3 linked regions of the Oryctolagus cuniculus genome follow. The protein of the gene in region 1 purifies or fractionates together with the protein of each later gene. This does not show direct contact. Links are inferred from orthologs where the notes say so. Each region holds a gene or a part of one and is shown in the gene's direction. Other genes may lie near its edges.

Evidence for each region.
Region 2: the proteins of SMAD7 (region 1) and ACVR1B purify together in Homo sapiens (affinity purification with western blotting; 3 studies listed by BioGRID and IntAct, with this or other methods). This does not show direct contact. The link is inferred for Oryctolagus cuniculus from reciprocal best matches to the Homo sapiens genes SMAD7 and ACVR1B.
Region 3: the proteins of SMAD7 (region 1) and TGFBR1 purify together in Homo sapiens (affinity purification with western blotting; 19 studies listed by BioGRID). This does not show direct contact. The link is inferred for Oryctolagus cuniculus from reciprocal best matches to the Homo sapiens genes SMAD7 and TGFBR1.

Annotation. Positions count from the first base shown.
Region 1 is NC_091441.1:28,914,004-28,921,907, forward strand, and holds the start of SMAD7 (mothers against decapentaplegic homolog 7), read left to right. Parts: upstream 1-3,863; coding exon 3,864-4,464; intron 4,465-5,594; coding exon 5,595-5,648; intron 5,649-7,904. UniProt on the Homo sapiens protein: Antagonist of signaling by TGF-beta (transforming growth factor) type 1 receptor superfamily members; has been shown to inhibit TGF-beta (Transforming growth factor) and activin signaling by associating with their receptors thus preventing SMAD2 access.
Region 2 is NC_091442.1:55,281,900-55,289,829, forward strand, and holds the start of ACVR1B (activin receptor type-1B), read left to right. Parts: upstream 1-3,719; 5' UTR 3,720-3,826; coding exon 3,827-3,917; intron 3,918-4,892; exon of another isoform or gene 4,893-4,934; intron 4,935-5,923; exon of another isoform or gene 5,924-6,835; intron 6,836-7,930. UniProt on the Homo sapiens protein: Transmembrane serine/threonine kinase activin type-1 receptor forming an activin receptor complex with activin receptor type-2 (ACVR2A or ACVR2B).
Region 3 is NC_091432.1:202,806,803-202,813,921, forward strand, and holds part of TGFBR1 (TGF-beta receptor type-1), read left to right. Parts: intron 1-607; coding exon 608-738; intron 739-3,496; coding exon 3,497-3,622; 3' UTR 3,623-7,119. UniProt on the Homo sapiens protein: Transmembrane serine/threonine kinase forming with the TGF-beta type II serine/threonine kinase receptor, TGFBR2, the non-promiscuous receptor for the TGF-beta cytokines TGFB1, TGFB2 and TGFB3.

The DNA of each region.
Region 1 (7,904 bases):
TGGGAGACAGAGAGATGCAGAGGGACCCCGAGAGGGTAGGGAGCTCGCCCAGAAAGCCTGGGACACCTTGCCACGTGCCACTCTCTGCACGGGCTCAGCCTCGCATTCGGTGTCCTGACTCCTAAGCTTTCCTCAGGTGGTGTTTCCCAGTCGTCTCAAAAATTCCAGCTCCATCTTGGTCCTTCTCTGCCCATGGGGGTGGGACAAGCCCATCTGCAAGCCCTCCTAGGCTGTTTTGTCTTCTAGAATGTGTTACCCCCACACACCAGTTTCAGTGCCCTTTTGAGTAAAGGACATTGTGTAATAAAATTATGATGACACAGTTGTAGCCAAGGCGGCCATACAGAGCAGAGACTCCCAATGCCAGCCTCTGTCCTGGTTCCCACACATGTGTCTGCAACTGTTGGCTTCCCGCTGCATTCTAGGGCAGTGAACTGCTGGGTCCCCGATGGGCTGATCCCTGCCACATTTGTACCACCAAAGCTGCTCTGCGGAGGCCAGTCCAAACATCCCCTTAAGCCCTAAGTGTGTGCTTTTTAAAGATTTATTTATTTACTTGAAAGACAGTTACAGTGAGAGAGGGAGACACACACACACATCTTCCATCTAGTGGTTCACTCCCCAAATGGCAACAGGGGTGTGGGGGCGGGGTGCTGGGCCATGAAGAAGCTGGGAGCCAGGATCTCCATCCAGGTCTTCCTCGTGGGTGCAGGGACCCAAGCACTTGGGCCATCTAAGGTGCTTTCCCAGGTGCATTAGCAGGGAGCTGAATGGGAAGTGAAACAGCCAGGACTCTAAGGGGTGCTCCTATGGGATGCTGAGGGACTCGCCCAGGCTTAACCCCTCTGTCCCACAAGTGTTGATTGCTAAATGATGAGCCGTTTTTGCGCATTAGAAACTTTTTGGAAGGCTGGAGGGGAGCGGGGTTGAGCTACAAAGGTGTCTAAACTCATCTCGGGCTTTTCCTTTTAAGAAAATACAATGTAGCTGGGGAGATGAAAATAGTACACGTCAATCACCTTCTCTAAAGATACTTAAAAATCCCCAAGGAGTTTCAGGGCTGTGCTGATGTCACGGCAATGATTAAAAAAAAAAAATTCTATTTCAGTGAATAAGAGGCGAGGCTAGATCGCCGTGCCAACTAGCGGCCTCCTCGAAGCCTGCGCACGTCCTCTGCCCCATCACCCCGCCGGGGCCCTGCGGCCACCAGCCAGCAGGGGGTCTGTCTCTGGGGAGCCCGGGGTGCAGGGGAGCTCGGACCCGGAGCGCTTGAGAGCTGCGCGGCCGAGAGGCGCGCAGGGACAGGCTCCGCGCGCAAGCGAACGCTCCAGGCGGGTCTGCTCGCAGGGGACCTCCCCGGGCCGGGGGCGCGGGCGGCTGTCCGAAGCCTTCCGGGCCGGGAGGAAACCTGCGGGCGGCCCGCGGGCGAGCCCCCGCCCCCGCCCCCCGCCGGGATGCCGCCCCTCGCGGCCCGTCAGCCAGCCAAACGCATTCCACAGCCGTGCACAAGACACGCTTCTCCAGGCGGTCCTGGAAACCGGAGCCCGGAGCGGGAGCGGGCCGCCGCTGAGGTCACGCTCGCGCCGCCTCCCGCCCCCGGCGGCCCGGCTGTTCCCTGCAGCGCGCACTTCCCAGGCCCCGCTCCAGCCCGGTGTGAATGTCTTTCGAACAGGCGGCGCTCTACACCCCTCTCCCTCCGGCGCGGCCAGGGCTCGGCCGCCAGCGCCTTTCAAACAAAACGAATGAATGGAGCGCGCGGGCGAGCGCGCGCGGGACGGCCCCGGCGCAGCTCGGCTCGGTCCAGGTCGGGCCAGCGACCGGCTCGTCCCGCCCGGCGTCTCGGCTCGTCCACACAGCCTCCCCCGCGCCAGCCGGGTCTCGGTCGGATCTGGGCGCCCCGCTGGCCCCTGCCTCTCCACCCCCCCAGCCCCCCCACATTGGTCCCCCTGCTGCAGACCCAGGAGGGGGTGGCGGTGGCGGGCGGGGGGGAGAAATAGCTTTTAGAAACCCGATCTGTTGTTTGCGAAACACAATCGCTTTTTTTTTTTTTTAAAGCGACAGGGTGTCTAGACGGCCACGTGACGAGGCCGGAGCCGGGCGCGCCACTGCGCAGTGGAACCAGCCGAGCCGAGGGCCGGGCGGGGGGGCGGGGAGGAGGAGGCGGCGGCGGCCGGGGCGGGGGAGGGAAGGGGGGAGAAGGGGGAGGGAAGGGGGCGGGGGCCGGAGGCCTTGCGGGAGGCGGCGAGCCCCGGGCACACTCGCTTGCAGCTCGGCGCACGGAGGATCCTGTCCCCGAGCCGCGCCAGCCGAGCCAGCCGGGCGCCGTGCTCGGTCCGGGAGCCGCGCCGGAGAGAGCTGCCTGAGACGGAGCCAGCCCGCCGGCGCCGAGCCGCCGAGCGCCCGGCCCCGGAGCCCCTGAGCGCGCCGCGGAGAGCCCCCGGAGGCGGCAGCAGGACCCGAGCGCCGAGAGAGGGCGGACGGGGGACAAGGAGGCAGCCGGCTGCGACGAGAGGAGTCTCAGAGGAGGCGGCGAGAGGACACCGGGGCCTCCCGCCGCCGAAGCCGGCTCGGGGCGAGCAGCCCATGCGGGGAGCCCCGGCGGCCAGCCACGGCCAGGGGAGGGGGCGCCAGCGGCCCCCGCGCTAGCCGGCAGCTTGTGCCCGGGGGGGCAGGAGCGTGCGACCCACCGGGGGCCCGCGGTGGCCGCCGTGCCGCGTTCCCCCGCGCTGTCAGCCCCGCTGGGCGCAGTCGCCGCCGCCGCCGCAGCCGCAGCGGCAGCATCTTCTGCCCCTGCGCCCCCGCCAGCCCCGAGGAAGTCCCCGCCGAGAACCTGGGCCCCCGGGACCGCAGGAGGAAAGACCAGAGACTCCCCTGGGACACCCGGATGCGCAGGATTGAAGCAGCCTAGCCCGACCTTTCTGTGGATTAAAAAAAAAAAAATTACACGATCTTTCGGGGGGAGGCAGAAGAAACGGAGAGGAAGACCAACGAGGCTCTGCGAGGAACGGAGCGGGCATGTAGCTCGTGGATGCGCCTCTGCACCCCGCAAGCGTCTTGTTCCACTTTGTAAACATTTTCTCCTCCCAAGCCCCGGCTGCGGGCGGACGAGCTGGTGGTTTTCATCTGGGGCTTTTGCATATTTGCTTCTGAGGTTCGGCGAGAACCTCCACGTTTCGCCAGACGGCTCATGCGGGGTGAAGTCCGCTCGGCCCCCTCCCCCGAGCCTTCGTGCGCACGGAATTCGAGGAGATCCGGTTACTAAGGATATAGAGGAAAAAAATAAATCGCGTGCCTGCTTTTTTTTTTTTTTTTTTTTATAATTGCCTGCTTCTCCCCACCCCCAAATTAAGTTGCTTAGCAAGGGGGAACGAGGCTCTTTGCTCGCTCGGGCAGCCTCGCCGGGCGCCTTTCGGTTTCTGCCCCCGCGGATCTTCCATGTAGGAAGCCGAGGCTGGCGAGCCCGACACTCGGGAGCCGCCGCGGGGGGGCCGCTCGCTGGGGAGGCGCCGACGGGGGCAGGCTCGGCCGCCCCCAGGGAAGCGGCGGCCGCGTTCCTCCGGGGCGCGCCGGGGCCCGAGAGCCGCGCAGGGCGCGGGCCGCGCGGGGTGGGGCAGCCGGAGCGCAGGCCCCCGAGCCCCGGCGGGCGCCCCCGGGCCCCCGCGCGCGCCCCGGCCTCCGGGAGACTGGCGCATGCCACGGAGCGCCCCTCGGGCCGCCGCCGCTCCTGCCTGGGCCCCTGCTGCTGCTGCTGCTGTCGCCTGCGCCTGCTGCCTCAACTCGGCGCCCGAGTTCTTCATGGTGTGCGGAGGTCATGTTCGCTCCTTAGCCGGCAAACGACTTTTCTCCTCGCCTCCTCGCCCCGCATGTTCAGGACCAAACGATCTGCGCTCGTCCGGCGTCTCTGGAGGAGCCGTGCGCCCGGCGGCGAGGACGGGGAGGAGGGTGCGGGCGGAGGCGAGCTGCGGGGAGAAGGGGCGACGGACGGCCGGGCGCATGGGGCCGGTGGCGGCGGCGCGGGCAGGGCTGGCTGCTGCCTGGGCAAGGCGGTCCGAGGTGCCAAAGGTCACCACCACCCCCACCCGCCGGCCGCGGGCGTCGGCGCGGCCGGGGGCGCCGAGGCGGATCTGAAGGCGCTCACGCACTCGGTGCTCAAGAAACTGAAGGAGCGGCAGCTGGAGCTGCTGCTCCAGGCCGTGGAGTCCCGGGGCGGGACGCGCACCGCGTGCCTCCTGCTGCCCGGCCGCCTGGACTGCAGGCCGGGCCCGGGGGCGCCCGCCAGCGCGCAGCCCGCGCAGCCGCCCTCGTCCTACTCGCTGCCCCTTCTGCTGTGCAAAGTGTTCAGGTGGCCGGATCTCAGGCATTCCTCGGAAGTCAAGAGGCTGTGTTGCTGTGAATCTTACGGGAAGATCAACCCCGAACTGGTGTGCTGCAACCCCCATCACCTTAGCCGACTCTGCGAACTAGGTGAGGAGTTGCTCCCGCCCCGCGACCGGCGCGCGGCGCCGCGAGTCACCTCCCGGGCGGAGAGAGACACGGGGGGCCGGGGCGGGCTCCGAGGGCTTTCCCTGGGGGTTCCCTCCCAGGTCTGTCCGGCGCCCCCAGGGGCCCTGTGGCCGCAGCTCCACCACACACTGTACTGATGGGCGGTTAAAAAGACGTCCTCACTTCCGCATCGGCACCCGGGTGCGGAGACAAGTGGGGCTCACGCCTCCCCCGCACCCGGAAAGGCGCTGAGGTGTGTGGCCGAGTTGGATCCGGGCCAAGCCCGCCAAGGAAGGCTGGGAGAAGCGAGAGGGAGGGCCGAGCTGCTTTTGGCGGCCGCGGAGACACTGGGCACGGGCGGCCCAGATGTTGCCCTGGCTCGGGTTAGCAGGGGAGGCCCGGCTGGGATGGCGCCCTGGGCTGCGCCGTTCTAGAGGCCTGAAGTCGAGTGTCCCCCGCCTTCTCCTTTCTCTGGCACCAAACGGGCGCAGAACTGGGTCTGGAATGCTCTATCCCAGCGCATTGGTGACGTTGCTGCCCGTCCCGGAGCTGGGGCCTGGGCTCCCCCGACAGAGCTCCCGAGCCCCTTCCCTTTGGCCTTCCCACTTGCCTGCGTTCTCCCCCCACCCCACCTTTTCTTTCAAAGGTTAAGGTGCCTGGGACGAGGTGCCCCCCAAGCTCACCAGCACGCTTGGGGCGCGTCTTCCCCCTGGGCTGGGAATGGGGAGTCCCGTGCCTCCCTCGCAGGGGCTGGGGCGGGAGGTGGGATGGGGGTCTAGGGTTCGGGGCCGGGCTGTCCCCCCTCCACCCGGGGAGCCGCGAGGCGCGCGGCCCCGGCCGAGCCGCGGCCGAGCTGGTGGTTTCCAGCCCGGCTGGGCGAGCGCGGCGGCGGCGGCCGCCGCAGACGTGGAGGAGCGGAGCGCCGAGGCTGGCGCCAGGCGGCCTCTTTTGTTTATCTGACAGCTAAATATCAAGGCAATCACCGCCCCGCAGCCCTGCCTCCAACCCCCACAGCTAAGACAAACAGTGGGGCCGAAAGAATGCCTCTGTTATCATAAGTTTCTATCTCTCTTTCTCATGGCCCGGCCTTTATTTCCTCTTTTTAATTCCAGAGTCTCCCCCTCCTCCTTACTCCAGATACCCGATGGATTTTCTCAAACCAACTGGTGAGTAGATGGCTTGGAAAAAATGCTTTTCCTATTCTGCTAGAAGCGGGGTGTTTTGTGTCCAGACAGCAGCCTTGGGGAGGTGCTGGCCTCGCCCCAAGTGGCACCTGGGTTTCCTGTGCTGGAAGTTTGGTGACTTTGTGTTAGTGTGGCTGGTTTTTTGCCTTTTTTTTTTTTCTTTCTTTCTTTGCAAAGACCTCTTCTAGATAAGCTTTACCTTGGGTTCCATTTTCACGTATATTTGCCCTCTGCCTCTGAAGCTGGTTGGATTTTAATACCCGGATGCTTTAAGCCACAAAGAAGTGGCTTGGGGACTAAGCAGAGCAGGGTGATGGGAACCTTCAGAGACTGTGGCGAGTGCCCAAGGAATCAGGGCTGGTTTGAGGGAATGGAGGTGCCGAGTTTGGCCTGTCTAGGATAGGATGGTGGTGCATTTAAGAAGTTCCAGAAGCCAGAGGGGAGTAGGTGCCCCCTGCCCCAGTCACATACAAGTCAGCCCTGTCCTTTTTTTTCCTGGGAATCCTTGGTCTGGTCATGAAAGTGTTTAGGGTACCTCTGCCTGCCTGTTGGTTTGTCTCGGGAGGGCCCCCGGCCAGGGCAGAAACCCATTTGAGATTGGCATCAGCCCTGCTGTGGTTGTCCGCGTTTGATTTCTGGCTGGCGACACAGGGGTCCCAACCTTTGGTGCTGCGGTGCCAGGCGACAGGGTTAGCAGAACTGACCTGGGGGGTGACCCCGGAGACAGGCTGGCAGCCTGCAGCCCCTTCTTCCAGGCAGAGTCACCTGCTGGAGAGTACAGACTGTAACTGGTGTCTGTGCCTGTGCACCGGCGCACACTGGTGCCATGGTTGGTTTTGCCAAGGGTCTGGCGCGGGAGGAGCGAAGGGCTGGGCGCCGTTTAGGTCCTGGAATTCTCCAGGTCCTTCTGCCTCATGCATTTTGGCTGTTGGGCCGTTCCCCCCACTAATTAAAAGTTTTGCCGGGGCGTTGTCATACATTAAATACTTTAATGAACGTGTAACCGAAGCCCCGTGCGCGGAGCCAGCCCTCCTGGGACTGCACCAGCTCCCCCAAGCTGGGAAGGCGTTGCTGCTTGCCTGGTGCCTGTCTAATAAGGGGCCTGTGGAGCATGTGATATTTTGCTTTCGATTTACAAAACACCAGATAAATGGTCATTAATGAGATAACCAACTCCCTGTGTTTGTAACAAACCTTAACTGGAGTGACCAAGCTCCGCTTCCCCGAGGACTGTGGCTTCAAGCATCAAGAATTCCTGCAGGAGGTTAAGGTTAGGTCTTCCAGGGACGATGGCGGCCCATTTTTGGTTTTCCCTGTGCATTCCTAGCTGTAGGTTTCCATCAGAAGGGAGGATGGTGTTCCCAGAAGCCTCCCCAAGCCATAGAGCAGCAAGGTCACGTTCTGGTGGGTCTTGCTGTCTTAGCAGTCCTTCTGCCAGGCCGGGACCTCATTTTCGGTGAGTGGAGTGATATATTTATTCATTAGCAAGTGTTGACATTAGGTAGCAAAATGTGTGTAAACAGAGAAGCCACAAAGACAGGAATGTGCCATTTCCAAGGGGGAGAGAAGGTTGCTGATGGGCCAATAGGAAGTGATTAACCTGCCAGTCGGAAGCTCACAGCGTCGCTTACTCACCCGCATCGTTTTGTTTCAAGCAAAACAAAAGTGAGGGACAGAAGGAAGGCGCTGTGGTGTGAGAGCCTGGGGGGTGGCAACAGAGAAAGCCCCCCTGAGAGAAATGGTCTGGACAGAGCACAGGACGGCCAGATCTAGGGCTTGGAGGGGCCGCCCGCCCGGGGCTGCTTCTGCGGCGGGCGGCTGTGGTCAGACACCGTGGGGAGGGATGCCACCCCAGGTTTGTGTCTCCACCTTGCATGGCAGAGTGTGGGGCCTGGGAATTCCTATCAGCCACTTAGATTCTTAAGGTCCTGAGCGCTGGGTTGAATTTTTGGTCTTGGGTTACTTAGGCGGAGCGGGCGTAGGGTGTTACAGTGGCCAGCTGTTAAAATCTTAACCAGTTGCACAACCAAGGGACTCCCTTTTCTGAAGAGGCCGTGGGAAGGGGGCTGGGGCACTGCTGGGGGTGGAAACCTGGGAGCTCCGTGTTGCTGTGGCTGGGAGGGCCTGGACTTGGTCCACCTGGGTGCTGTGTGGTCCCAGCGCGCTTGCTGCTGGAGTGTTGGGCACGGCTGCACCCGGGGCCAGGGTGGCTGCGTCTGCAGGAGTGAGAATTTGCTG
Region 2 (7,930 bases), on another chromosome or scaffold:
GGCCGTTACGGCCATCTGGGGAGTGAACCAGTGGATGGAAGGCTCCTTGCCCTGCCTCTCTATAACTCTGCCTTTCAAATAAAAATGAAATAAATCTTTAAAAAAAATCTTTAGTCTTCTTGTGACTAATGACCTTGCTGCTCCCCAAGGCAAACCGTGCTGTCTCCTAGGAAACTGTGTCTTGTGACCAAGATGGCAGTTGTAATGCTGGGTGATCTGCTTACTGGAACCTGGAGAGCAAATTTTTCCTAGTAGAGCAGAAGGCAAAAGAAGTGTGTGGACTGTGGTGCAGGTGCAGCCCTAAAACGAAGGTAGCTTACAAAAACAGACACTTTGGGGCCAGCATTGTAGTACAGCAGGTTAAGTCACTGCCTGCAACACCAGCATCCCGTATAAGCGCTGATTCAAGTCCTGGGTTCTGCTCCACTTTCTATCCAGCTCCCTGCTAATGGCCTGGGAAAGCAGCGGAGAATGGCTCAAGTGCTTGGGCCCCTGCACCCGCGTGGGAGACCAGTATGAAGTTCCAGGCTCCCAGCTTGGCCTAGCCCCAGCTGTTGCAACCATTTGGGGAATGAACCATTGGATGGAAGATCTCTCTGTCTCTCTCTCTCCACGTCTCTGTAACTCTGCCTTTGAAATAAATAAATAAATCTTAAAAACAAAAATGGATGCCTTGCTGAGGACTTCAGGGATGGTGAGGAGGGGTGGGCGAAGCTTGCCCTGTGGGAAGGGGCATGGGGCACAGGCGTGGACTGGGACGTTTGTCCTTGTGCACCCCGGAACCTGGAAGGGAAGGGGCCTCATCTCCAGGAGGAGATGCCCCAAACACAGGTGAGTGGTGTGTGTGTGTGTGCAGGATAGAACTCACCCCTTCCTGTCAAGTCTTCTTTCCCACCTGCATCCAATCCTGAAGCCCTGACCCTGGAAAAAGTTTGAGATGTTGCAGAAAGCACAGGGCAGTGGGCTGTGGCTTTAATGATCAGTTCCACGTGAGCTTGGCAAGCTGTTTCTCTAGGTCTCAGTCACCTCAAGCATAAAGTGGGCACCACTCAGGATCACAGTGAAGACCAAGGGCCAATAATCATAACAGCTGTTCTTTCATTTCCTGCATGTCAGAGACTGGACTAAATGCTTTCCCTAGAATATCTTTTTCTAAAAGATTTATTTATTTGAGAGGCAGAGTTAGAGAGAGAGGGAGAGACAGAGAGGGATGTCTTCCATCTGCTGGTTCACTCCCCAAATGGCTGCAATGACTGGAGTTGGGCTGATCTGAATCCAGGAGCCAGGAGCTTCTTCTGGGTCTCCCATGCGGCTCAGGGGCCCAGGCACTTGGGCCATCTTCTGCTGCTTTTCCAGGCCTTCAGCAGGGAGCTGGATTGGAAGTGGAGCAGCCAGGACTCAAACCAGAACCCATATAGAATGGCTGTACCATAGGCGGCAGCTTAACCTACTATGCCACAGTGCTGGTCTCTTCCATAGAGTATCTGAAGCAATTCTCACATCTCTATGACACAGAATTGTGCTCAGCTCCATTCCACAGATGAGTGCATTGAGGCTTAGGGAGAGAAAACAACTTGCTCAAAGTCAAACGCTATTAAGGGAGCTACTGGAGATGGCATTTGATCCCCAGACCCAGAATTTGGCCTGGTGCCTTGAGGCTCGTGGCTGGCTTTGCTGCCTAGCGGTAAAGCAACCTTAGCTTTACTGCTGGTGCATCTGTTATTGTAGCCACAGTGGCAACATAGTGGCAACCCTTACTGAGCAAGACACAAAGGAGAGTCTCTGCCCCTTGCAAGGGGAGGGGAGGACCTGTTTTCCCTTCCCAAACACAGAGACAGCTTGCTGATTGTATCTGTTAAACAGTGTCCCTCCTACACTCACATCTACCCAGAACCTTCAAAGAAGACCTCAAGCTCTTTGTGGAGGTAATCAAAGATTACTGGAATGCCCGCCGACTGGATTAAGGTGGGCCCTAAATGACTGGTGTCCTTCTGAAATCAGAGAGAGAGAGAGAGAGAAGAGAGAGATGGGACCAGAGACACAGACTCAGAGAGCAGGCAGCCCTGAGAAGACCCAAGAGGCAGAGATGGGAGCTTTGTTTCCACAAACCAAAGAAGAGCAAGGATTCAGGGTACCACCACGAGCTGGAAGAGGCGAGAAAGGATTCTTCCCTCGGCTCTTCAGAGAGAGCAGTGGCCCTGCCAACACTGTGGTCTCAGATTTCCAGCCTCCAGAGCTGTGAGAGAACACGTTTCTGTTATTTTAAGCTACCCAGTTGGTGGTGCTTCGGGAAGGAAGCCCTGGGGAACTAGCTGTGTGCACTGCAGCTGGGAGACCCGGTGTGGACAGAGTATGCCTGGGGAGACCAGTTAGATGCTCAGGAGGTGGGAGGTGCCTATTGGAGGTGAGGGGGGGAGGGCGGGAAAGAGAGCAGAATAAAAATAAGGTGTTTATTTGTCCAGCTGCGGGATCCACTTGGCAGTGCCTGGGCACGTGTGACCGTGTGTGCATTGTGTGTGTGCCTCTCGTCTTGTTTTTCTGCCCAGGGAGAGGATGGTGCTTCAGTTTGATGACAACTTGTAAGACGAAGAGTCCAGCAAGAGTCCACCTGAGAAACTTGCTCCAGCCCGTCCGGCTCACAGCCAGGGAACTTGGGTTTAGCCAAGCTACAAGCTTGCCCAAGCTTCGTTATCAGGAGCCTGGGAGACCCTGCCCTGTTCACCATCTCCGACCCCCTTGCCTCTGAGGGAGTGAACTCTTCTTCCGCCTAGCTTCCATAAGCATCTTTGTCTAAATCTGAAAGTGACATGTATTTAGCACAAATTTGGAAATCGCCCAAACGTTTAAGGGAAAAGAAAAGAATTCTTCCTGGCAGTAACTACTGATAACGTTGGGTAATATCCTTCCAGTCTTTTTTCCATGCAAATATATAGTATCACCAAATTTGAACAGCACTCTGAGTAGTTATGTAATCCACTTACGCCTTTAACAGTATCTCACGCCATTAGTTTTTGCAACCATGATTTTAAAATCATAACTCGTGTTCCATCTCCCAGACGGCTCATAATTTAACGGGCTTCGATTAGCGCCTACGCGGTGTCCAGTGCTCGCAAGGATAAATGGGCAAGTTGACATTCGGCATAAACATTCGTCGTCTCCCCTTACGACTTCCCGGACACGGACACCGGCGAATACCGGGCAAAGGGGAATGGCTAGCGAGAGGCTCTCGGTAGACAGGACGCTCGCGGCCAGGAGGACAGCGCCGGCGGCTGCGCCCAGCCCCCACCACGCCTGGGCTGCATCATTTGCAAAGCCTTGCTGTGTTATGGAAGGAGCGTGCACGCACGCGGCATTGCAGGGGGCGAGGGTAGCGAGCGAGGACCCTCTCCCCGCCCTGGGGCCACGCCGGGCGGCTCCGGGCTCCGACCGCGCACCAGCCGCAGCTCGCCCAGGGCCCGGTTGGGGGGAGGGGATCGGCGCTGATAAGGTAACCAGGCGCTGCGTGGGGTGCAGCAGAGGGGCGGAGGCTGCACGTCCGGCTCCGGCCTCCTCCGCGCCGGGCGCCGCACGGCTCCGCGAGGCTGGCCGAGGCGCGAACCCCGCCCACCCCTTTAACAGGGACACTCCCCTTTAAGGCGGGCGCCCGCGCGCACCCCGGCCCCGCCCTTTCGGGGGCGCGCGCGCGCGCCGGCTCCGCCGGGAGCGCACGTGCCGGCGCCGGGCGGAGGAGCGGGAGGCGGGAGCGGGGCCGCGGGAGGAGGGGAGGCGCCGGGGGCGCGCGCGCGCGCGCGCTGGGCGCTGCTGGGCTGCGGCGGCGGCGGTTACTATGGCGGAGTCGGCCGGAGCCTCCTCCTTCTTCCCCCTCGTCGTCCTCCTGCTCGCGGGCAGCGGCGGGTCCGGGCCCCGGGGGATCCAGGGTGAGTCCTGGGGTGGGGGCGGGGGCTGGGCTGCAGAGGGCCGGGCGAGGGCGAGGCCTGGAGCTGCGGCCCCCGGGCGACGGCGCGCCCCCCTCCCCACGCGCACAATATGGCCGGGCGGGGGGCGCGAGGTGTCCGGGGTGACCCTCGCTCGGCCTCCTCCTCTTCCCCCCCGACCTCCGAGGCGCGGCTGCCCCGCCGCGGCCCGAGCTCGGCCGGGCCCCGGGGACCCGAGCTCTCCTCCAGGCGGAGCTGGGTCCGGGCAGCGCTCAGGGGGTCGCGCCCCCTGGCACCCTCAGCGTGCGGCGCTGGGGACCCCTGGGGCCGGCGCCTGCGAGATAGGGAGCGCCGTGGCTTCTGCCCTTCAGCGTGTCCAGGGGGCGGGGGGCAGTGTATCTTCGCTCCAGATGCTCCTGGGTGGGGGGGCGCCTGTTTCTCCCGCCAAGATTGGGGGGTTCGGGCCGTGGGGGGTCTTGGCTCTCCGCCGAGGTATCCTGGTGTGGAGAGGGTCCTCACGCCCAGCGGGCTGGAGGGGAGGGGGTCTCTGACCTTTCCTTGAGCCCCCTGCACTTGGTGTGGCTCGTCCCCTCCTTGCCTGATGTTCTGGGAAAGGGAATCCCATTTCCCCCGAGCACCGTCCCTGGAGTTCAGCGGGGCACCCCCCGACCCTCGCAGCCCACACGCCGGGCCGACGCAGTGGGGAGCAAGTGGGAGGAACAGGCCCCTACACCTCTCCCAGGCTTGGCTCTGGAATCTGGTAGCCTTGTGAAGCCTGGCTCCCGGCGGCTGCTCTGATCCTGGCTGTATTTGCTTTCCTCCTGGCCTCCCCCACCCCACCCCACCCCACCCCAGGGGGCCCATTCAGTGGATCTCTCTGCCGATGCCTGTCAGGTGAAACCCTAGAAGCTGGCCACCACCCCCACGGCCATCGCCGGTGTGCCTCGCCTTGGTCACCACTTAATTTCCTTCCCACAGCCTCTGCTGCCTGATGCTGTACCCACCCTGGCCGCCCTGAAGGTGGGCACCTTCCTGGGGTGGGGGTGGGGGGGACATTCTAGTGGCTGTGCTGTTTGCAGAGAGGCCCCGAAACCCTAACCCTGCTTCCCTTTTCGGAGAGTCGGCTCAAATGCGTTTTGGCATTGGGGTAGCAGGTGAAGGTTATATTTGGATTTCAATAGGTTGAACTGATTGTTGTCCCACAGATGGGTCTGGGGGAGACCAGCCCCGGATAGGAAGCCTGCTGCTTTGACTTCTCAGCATCCCCCTAACCTGCCAGGCGCTGGGGGCCGTGTGTGTATGTGTGTGTGTGTGTGTGTGTGTGTGTGTGTGTGCGCGCGCGCGCGCGTGTGTTCGTGTTCTCAGGTGGCTACAGACCATCAAGGAGACGCCACTTTGGCGTCTCAGAAAACAAGTTCATTATCTCGGGCTTTGATGTTTGTTCCGGGCGGTATAGGCTCTGCAGTGGGGTCTTTGTTCACTGGCTAATGCTCCCGGTAAGCACCTCGCCCGTCCTTGGGGCATAGGTAACCTCCACAGGTCTTATAAACACCGTAAAGGTGCACCTTTGTTGCCTGATAGCGATTTCCATGAATAAGGATGTTTGCAGGGAAGGGGAAGCATGGGGGGCTTATTATGGGCCGTGCATTTGGGATGTATAACCTGGTATAGGAAGTGAGGTGGGGAGAATAAGGAGACTCAAGCCTTCAGGTTTGTCTGGTGTGTGTGGTGTGTGTGTGTGTGTGTGTGTGAATAAATCCTTAAATTCCTAGCATTGGAATTTTTATCCTGCCCATCATACCCCCAGGATTTTTAACAATCATTTATTTCCCTGCTGGTTTGGCGGAGTGGCTGTGGGGTTTCTCTTGTTGTTGTTAAGAGTGTTTAATTGATAATCCCACTGGTTGTGAATGGGGCAGAGTTCATTTTTTTGGTAACTTGCCTACAATGGACATTTGTTGGGGTGAGGGTGGGTGGGCGTAAGAGGGAGCTCCTTTCTGTTTTTGGCAACTGGGAAATTAGGTTGTGTGTCCAGCAAACATTCTCAAGGGCCTTTCAACTTCTTGGCCAGACACTATATTTTTTTTTTCCGGGACACATGGAGTTGCCAGTAGTGCACGCTGCTGAGACCACTGTTGCAAAAGGCTTAAAGTCACACGTCACTTCTGGGAAAGTAGAGGCTGTGCAATGACAAGAAGTTGATTTTTTTTCTCCATGCCCTGCCTTTCCTGTGCTCCCCTACATGGTCTGGGAGAGGGACAGAGCCCGGCAGCTCCGATGCCCACAGCTTGGAGGGGGAGGGAAAGCAGTAGAAGGATAGGTGTTTCTATTAATTAATGAATTACCTGGGACACAGCGAAAGGCCAAGGTGATACAGAGAATGAGTTTCAGGCTAGAAATAGCATCCATTTGATAGGTATATCGTGTTGTTAAGACCTGGCTTTGGAATGTTTACCTTAGTGGTTAACATTGAGTTAGTAAAAGGAGAACAGGACTTCGATGTCTCAGGACAAAAGCAGAGGGACAGACATTGGAGGTTCCTTTTGAGTTGACTAAAAATCCAACTTGAAGCCAAGCCCTGTGATTTTGTTGCGTGGCCGTGGATTTGGAAACAGGGCGGAAGCCAGCTCCTGTGGAGGAGCAGAGACCCTCTCTGGAGTTTTGTTAGGACAGCTCCCGGAGCTGATGTGATAAAACCTGTTAAAATGGCCACCCTGGTTAAAGGTTAGAGGCAGGAGGAGGAGGAGGAAGCAGAGGAGGAGGGGACTGCTTTTCAGTCCGGGAACTTTGCTCCTTTCCAGGCGGCCCTTGACCAACTGGCCAAGCCTTGGGCGCCTGCCTCAGTGGTCCTCCTGGTGCGGCGCTGTGTGGCTGTCCTCAGGCCGGGTGTGGGGCTGCTGACTGAGGGCCAGTTGGTGGAGGTATTTTTAGACGCAGTTTTTGACTTCAGTGAATAAGGGCTGTGGGGTGACTTTATCTCAGGGGGCAGGGGAGCACGCTCTGATTGATAGAGGCAGCACATGGCCTTGTGGTGCGTTTTCTACCTTTGTGCTGCTTCTGCGGACCGGGTTCAGGTCTCCTCAAATTCCTCTCTGCCACCGTGGGTGCTAATCAAAGCAGGTCTGGAGGGAGTGACCTGCTTTAGGCTTCATTGGTTTGGCAACGTTGTAAGTCTTACGCAACTCCGGGTATGTTTATGGCCCTATGTAAATGTTACATAAGAACATGGAGGCCGAGAGGTGGCCAGAGGAGTGACTGCACGCAGGGCGGGAAGGGAAGCCGGGCGGAGGCTGCACATCCCTCCAACCCCCCCCCCCCCAGGACCTTGGGAACCTGCTGTGTGCGTGGGCTGGGGGTGAAGCTGCACTCTGTCCCTGCAGCAGCCTTGTCAAAGGATTGTGTCTTTCAGGTGGACTGCTGTGTTATAAATAGGTTTATTCTACACCGGTGAGCTAATTGTAACCTTGCTACCAAAATATGAATCAGTAAGCAAGGAGGAGCCGAGGAGACGCCGCCGCTGCTGCTCCCGGCACGGCCCGTGCACGCCCGCTTGTTGCATTTGGAGCGTGAGTTGGATTGCATTGCAGGCTGTTCCCATGATAACCTGGGAGCATGGGGTGTCGAGGTGGACCAGCGCCGTGTCTCGGAACCTCTCTAGTTTTGAAGGTTAAATTAGAATACTGAAGTGCATCTTGTGTTTTCATTTTTGAAATCTTTATTGCTGACTGGTCAGTCCTTGCCCAGAGCGGGAGTGAACGTTAACTCCGGAACCCTACCTCCTTGGCTTGAGTTCTTGTGTCGTGTGTTACAGTAGGAGTTGATGTCAGAGGGTCTTATCTCCTTTGCCTCTGTTCATAAAGAGAAAGCCGCTTTGTGATCTGGGCCTCCAATGTGGGCGGGCCGCTTGGAACCCGTCAGTTCCACCTGCACTGGCTGTGCTGGGCTCTGGTTCTCACACCTGAGTCAGGCCCTGCCTTGTGGCCAGGTTGCAATACCCACACTGGACTGCTGCCTCC
Region 3 (7,119 bases), on another chromosome or scaffold:
GTAGACTACATATACAGAAAACAGTGACATCATCATTCCATCCCGTGACTTTCAGTACATTTGTTCTGACTTTTAAGTTTCGTTTCAGATTGAGCACTTTGTAGTATTTACCGAGAAGCAGTCTGTTAGACTTGGAGCCCAGGATTGATCGAGAGCTATAGACTCAGGTTTTTGAGGCAGCGAGGGACAGAGGCTCTGTATAGTGGCAAATAGGACTTGTAGTTGACAGTTGCATGCCGACAAAGGGACTGGCACTCTGTAGGATTCACATCCTCAGCTGAGCACACATGTGTACTGAATGAGAGGCTAGAATAGAAAATCTCATTTGCTGCACAGTAGCCTTCTAGGCGAAAATGGCAATCTGGTTATCACAGCTCATAGTTAACCATCATTGAAAAAAGCCCGTGCTGATCTCATGGCAGTGTTGAGTTTCATGATGTGAGCCCAGAACAGACGGGCAGGGGCGGAGCTTGTTGATGCAGATGTGGAGCAGAGAAAGCTGTGAGTCCTGGGCACTGTAATAGGCCCTTTGGGTGATCCTTTTAATGGTTTGGCATTAGCTGAATAAATTTTTCAAAATAGTTTGTATTTTTTTTAACCAATCTAGGAATTCATGAGGATTACCAGCTGCCTTATTATGATCTTGTACCTTCTGATCCATCAGTTGAAGAAATGAGAAAAGTTGTTTGTGAACAGAAGTTAAGGCCAAATATTCCAAACAGATGGCAGAGCTGTGAAGTGAGTATTTCTTTTTGATACTAGGCAAATTTCTGAACTGCATTTGCTTAGTTGCAAAGTGAAAATTAGCTACTTTTTCTTAAGGAAAATGGACAAGAATTCTCTTTTTTCTTTCCTTTTCATAGCACTTTATGCAGTAGATAAAAATGAAGCAATTTGCTTTCCACAACACACTGAAAGGGCCCTGGAGCACTTGCAGTGGCCATTAGTGAGTCCAAGGTTGTTTAGGTCCGCCCAGTGAGCTTAGGCATCGGCCTTGTCAGTCACTGTTTCCCTTCAGCCAGACAAGCCCAGAGTGATGTGGTAAGTGCTGGACAGGGAATAGGACGTTTGCAGCCTGAGCACCCGCTGCATGCACAGGCTTTATTTTTGTTTATTTTGTTTTTTAAAGATTTATTTATTTATTTGAAAGAGTTAATACAGAGAGAGAAGGAGAGGCAGAGAGAGAGAGAGGTCGGTCTTCCATCTGCTAGTTCACTGTTCAACTGGCCACAATGGCCAGAGCTGCACAGATCTGAAGCCAGGAGCTTCTTCTGGGTCTACCATGTGGGTGCAGGGGCCCAAGGACTTAGGCCGTCTTGTACAGCTTTCCCAGGCCATAGCAGAGAGCTGGATCAGAAATGGAGCAGCCAGGACTTGCACCGGCACCCATATGGGATGCAGGCATGCAGGCAGCGGCTTTACCCACTGTACCACAGTGCCGGCTCCGAGGCTGACTTTGGACAAGTCACTTTGCTGGAACTTGGATAAAATTATCCAAAGGTACTTCCAATGAGTTTGTTTTGTGTTCACCTGATTGCCTGGATAACCATTAAACCAGGAATTTTGAGAAAGTGCTTTCTATTTAGTAGTGTGAGCTTCTCAATCCAGGTCTTAGAAAATGTTTTTGAGGTATGTTCTTAGTTGTGAATTTAAAGAATTTGTAATTCAAACTGTACACAACCTGTCCTTAATTGCTAGCTGTCACTATTGTAATATTGGTTGAGGCAGGGCCTGTCCTTCTACATGTGATGTTTTGCAGAGTGGAAAGCTGGTCACTTCAGTAACCGATTTTCCATCTTAAAATAAGGTGAAACACTGCAGATCTGGGATATGGAGAGAGCTTGCTGCTTCCAACAAAATCAAGTATCAAGGCCCCAGGGAATACAGAACAGCATGCTCAAAGAATCCACATGCAACATAGTTTAACAGATTTGATGTGGATACTTCAAAGTAGAAACTTCATTCATATACTCATTTAATATTTGGAGCAGATTGCTATTAAACAGATGGCTTTTAAGGCTTCTAAGCATGAAGAAAAGTTAGCAGTTAACATTAAGAACACATTTGCAATTACTATCACATGCTGAATTAATGCCATCACTGTCATTTTTATTTTTTCTCAATTTGGTTAGTTTTCTATGTATTCATCACCAATTCAATGTTTGACTTTCCTAGGGTTTTATAAATCTCCTTTCGGTAACTGAAACATATCAAGAATGTGAATGTGAAACAGCTCCTAAAGACGGCTCCTCCAAGTCTTCCCACCACTTCCAGTCTGAACTGGCTGCTCTTGACCAGCTCTGCAGCTTCACACTCGAATTCTCTTTGCCTCTTTATGCTCCTTCCTGGATCTCAGCTCTGTTTCTTGATTTGTTCACTTGTTCCCTCTTTTGTGTCTCTGCTAGATGTTACTCTGTCAGTGAGACATTGCCTGTGTACCTGTTTGAGATGCCGTCTCTTTCCCTAGCATATTTGATCTCCTTCCCTAAATTATTTCTCCCTTTAATATTCACCACTATCTCCTAGTTCATGTATTTTACAATAATTTATTTATTATGTGGCTTAGCAAGGCCCATCAACAATAAATACACTAGTATTTTATTTCTTTGAGGATCTTACTGATAGGTTTTTGATATGTTCTGCTTTGTATATAGCTTCTGTGTTCTCCAGTTTGCTCTGTTCTCTTTCAGCTTCTGCATTTCACATGGTTGTCCTCACATGTGTGACAAACTTATTCTGTCCCTGGGTGAAAACGTGGCTCAGGAAGTGCTGGGAAACTGGTGCAGGTGCAGCAGCAGTGTGGACTGGGGAACGCAGGGCAGTCTCCCGGGTCACCTGGGAAATCACTGGAGTCTTGCTCTTGGGCTGCTCTGATTTTCCAGAGAAGACTCTTCCGGTCTCCTACCTGGAGAAGCATGCAGTTGCTGCCTGTGTTTTGGGCAGAAAGCTCACCATCTTAGCACTCAGTATGTTTTCAGTATGAAACTTCTACCCTTGTGTTCCTCAAGCCATAAGTCTTGTTACCCTCTCAGATTAAAAACAAAACATAACAACCTCTGGTTTCCTGTGGGGGTGAAGTTGGTGGAGGAAGGTATCTGGGGCCCCACTCCGCTCTTTGAGTTTGTCCTCCTGTTTTTACCCTAGGATTGGTCTGTGCAGTTACTGTCTCGCTTTGGGGCTAGGATCAATGTGAGTTAAGCTCCTGCATGGCCTTGCCCAGCTCTGGTTAAGGATTCAGCTTTTTCAGGTCTGCTAGGTACGTCACACCTGTCCATCTGGTTCTGACAACAGTGGCTGACAACAGTATGCCATCAACCAAAATTTAAGTCATTTCTAGTGATTGGCAATTACAGATAACACTTACATTTAAAAAAAAAACAAACCTGTATATATGTCATTTTAAATGAAAATTTACAGGAAAAGATTCTTACCCAAATCAATGGAAAGTGGGGCATGCTTCAACTTCTTTTTTTTTTCTTTCTGTATTTTCTTGTAGGCCTTGCGAGTAATGGCTAAAATTATGAGAGAATGTTGGTATGCCAATGGAGCAGCTCGGCTCACAGCTTTGCGGATTAAGAAAACATTGTCACAGCTCAGTCAGCAGGAAGGCATCAAAATGTAATTCTACAGCTTTGCCTGAACTCTACTTTTTCTTCGGCTCTGCTCCTGGGTTTCAGTTTGGGAGGTCATTTGTTCTACCTCACTGAGAGGGAACAGAAGGACATCGCTTCCTTTTGCCACAGGACAGTAAGGTCCATGCAAAGCGTCCCAGGAAACAGCCACGTGGGTCCTTTCTGTGCACTATGAGCGCTTCTCTGCCAGGACGTTACAAAGTGTTGTGTAGTCTACCTTTATTTTTTATTAACAAAACTGGTTTTTTAAAAGATGATTGCTGGTCTTAAATTTAGGTAACTCTGCTGCGCTGAAGGTCATCTTTAAGGGTAAAGGAGCTGGGTTCCCGAGTTCCGGAAGACATTTCTCACTAAAGAACGCGATTTACTCCTGGTTAGTACATTCTCAGCGGATTCTGAACCACTAAAGAGTTTCCTTAATTCAGACTTTGAATGTACTGCTCTGTGCTTTTTCAGGATCTTAAAGCTAATACTTTACAACTCTTATCTTGAGTCTAAAAATGACCTCATATAGTAGTGAGGAACATAATTTATGCAACTGTATTTTGTATACTATTATTGTTCTTTCACGTTTTCAGAACATTACATGCCTTCACACTGGGATTGTGCTATACCAGTAAGTGCCACTTCTGTGTCTTTCTAATGGAAATGAGTAGAATTCCTTACATGTGTTGGAACCTGGAGTGTTCAGATTCAAAAAGTTTACTTATCTAGGTGACCCAAACCTTTTTTGTTTGTTTCTGAAATTATTTTTGTGGTAAGTCATTCGGTATTCATTTTGGAAATGCCTTTCTCCTACAAAAATGTGCTTAAACCACTAAAGGAATGAAGTGGCAGTAAATTAGCAAATTGCTATCATGGTTGTGGTTGAATATTCTCATATCATGCATTTGCATTTTAATTGTGTTGTCTAAATATACTTTAAGAAATTCAAGTGGCACTCTAGATGCATATAGTACTTTAATAACTTAAAGTTTGTAGCGTACAGACTAATTTTTCTAAAAGGGAAAGTTTGTCTAGCTGCTTGTGAAAAGTTGTGTGGTATTCTGTAAGCCATTTTTTCTTTATCTGATCAAAGACAGTGTTATTTTTTTAAGAAATGGATTACATTTAAAATTAGGGTATGGTCAATGCTAAATAATAGGCCTTTTATTAGGAAGGCAAAGGTAGTTAATGTGACTAGGCAGCAGGGTGTGTGAGAGTCACGCTTGTCTTGTAGGAGTAATGTTTGGGGGTTTCTCTATGACTGAGGTTAAAGGTAGTGTAGTTTTGAGGTCTCAGTAAACTTCAAGGAAGGCAGCTTTCGTTCGGTCTTTCCTTCTGTGTGCAGATTCTGCAGTTTTGTCACTCGCATGGTTATGTCATGAATTCAGTGCACCCGTGAGGCTGGGGAGAGGTGTTAGCTAAAGAACATTCTGAATTTAGATTCTCCATTTACAACTAGTTTTGGTCAGATTATATGGTTAAAGCAGACTTGTCATGGTCTTCTCACGTCAAGTTGAAACTAGTTTCTAATAACTGGATTTTACTCCCAGTGCTGTAAAGTTCTTGCAGGGCTTTTACAGTTGTCCTAGTCCTTTTTATCACTGTGATCTTATTCTGAAGGAGAGAGAAGCTATGGCAGCTGTGAGGCCAGACTGACTCTGTAGTGCTGCCAGTCCCCATGGAAGGGGCAGAATAACCCTACAGGTTTGGTCTGAAGAGAGGGTGGCCATTTATGCTGAATAAGTTGTGTTCTGATAATGTCTTATCTCTTACAATGAATTTAAAAGACTATTGGATCTTAAAGCCAAAGTAATTTTAGAATGAGTGACATATCACATAGGAATTTAGTGTCAATTTAATGTGTTTAAAAACATGGGAAAATGTGCTTAGAGTTAATATTTCAACTACAAATTTGAGGTTTTTTTCTGTAGCTACCATTTTGTTGAAACAAATGAGTAAGTTTGGGAGGTTTGTTTTTCTAATTGTGTTCTGTTACTTGTTTAATAATCTCTAATTTTGTAATCAGGTACTTTTTTTTTCTTTGGCCATTTCTAAGCCTGCCAGATCTGCTTTATGAAATCCAGGGGACCAATGCATTTTATCAGTAAAACTATTTTTATATATCATTTTAAGAACATACCAAAAGTTATCTGATTAAAGTTTATTGCATGATTTCTTACTTTCATAGACAATAATCAGCTTTTGCTGAAGATATTCTTTATTAAATCAAATATTGAGTTACAGGATACTATTTTTGCTTAAGTGGATAAAATGTACTTCTGATGAATCAGGGAATTTTTTTTTTTTTAAGTTGGAATTTAGTTCTAAAATGAGTTTACAGATTATTGCAGCTAATTCTTTTTTTTTTTTTTTTTTTGGCTAGGGATGGTTTGATAAACCCCATTTGGCTAATACAGAAAATGAAAGTAACTTAAAAGATGAGATGGATGATTGCTGTGGCCATAACTGTAGATACATTTGACTAGAATAATGGTTTTGTCATGTAGAAACACAGATCTTTGTTTTCATTGCCTGTCCTAAGATGCTCTCCTTCTAAGATCCAGCTTCACAAATAACCTGTCCATATTGATTCTGTCAGTGTCCCAGGTCAGTGGGGCATTGGCTTCTCGAGTTCTTCCTTCAAAGTGTGAGCTCTGTTTCTCCCAGTCTGCTTGCCTTCCTGCTGGTCTCTCTGTCAGAGGCCAGTGCCACCCTCCCCTGCCTTTTGACTGGAGAGCTCGCTGCTTTTGAGACCTGGAATACAATGGTTGATTGAAATTGTCAGATATACTTCAGTTTCCTTCAGTTGCTGGATGTCGCAAGGGAAGGGCCTCCAAGTTTTGAGATTGAGTAGATGAGGGTTGGGATGCTCCTGCTGTTGTCCTGCTTTGACTTTAGCCGTGGATGAGAAGTGGCGTGGTATATGGTGGTAGCATGGCAAAGGGAGTTGTACCAAAAGCACTGGCCCTTTGTGTTCCTTACAGGACAAGGTGAAGGCCTGAATTCTGCTGTAATGATAGTGCTCAAGAAGTGCCTTGAGTCAGAGTACAGTGCCATGGCCATCACGAACTCAAGTTCAGTTCTTATTGAAGTCCATGCACAAATTCCTTTTTTCCCCTCTGTCTGCCAACTGTCAGATGTAGACAGTTTTGTAAAACAAGATGCTAAAGTGCTACTTAAAACACAACAGCAGAACCAGCATCCCATCAGACATGTCCTGTCAAAGGCTTATGTTTGTCCTTGCACTGAAGGAATGACTGTAAGTCAACTTTTTTCGTTTCTTGATCATGTCAATGTTCTAGCTCCAAGAGGTGGAGATTCCAAATAATGTCTTTGTTACAGCTGAGCAGAAAATGCCAATTTGAGTATCTTGAGATCCTAAAGAATAGCTCTGGATGTGTCCTGCAGTTTCTTGTGTCTGCTTTGGAATGCGGGAATCCCACGGGCCCTCTCTAGGAATGCTGGACTTCTAGGTCGTCATGAGGATTGTCAGTACATGAAA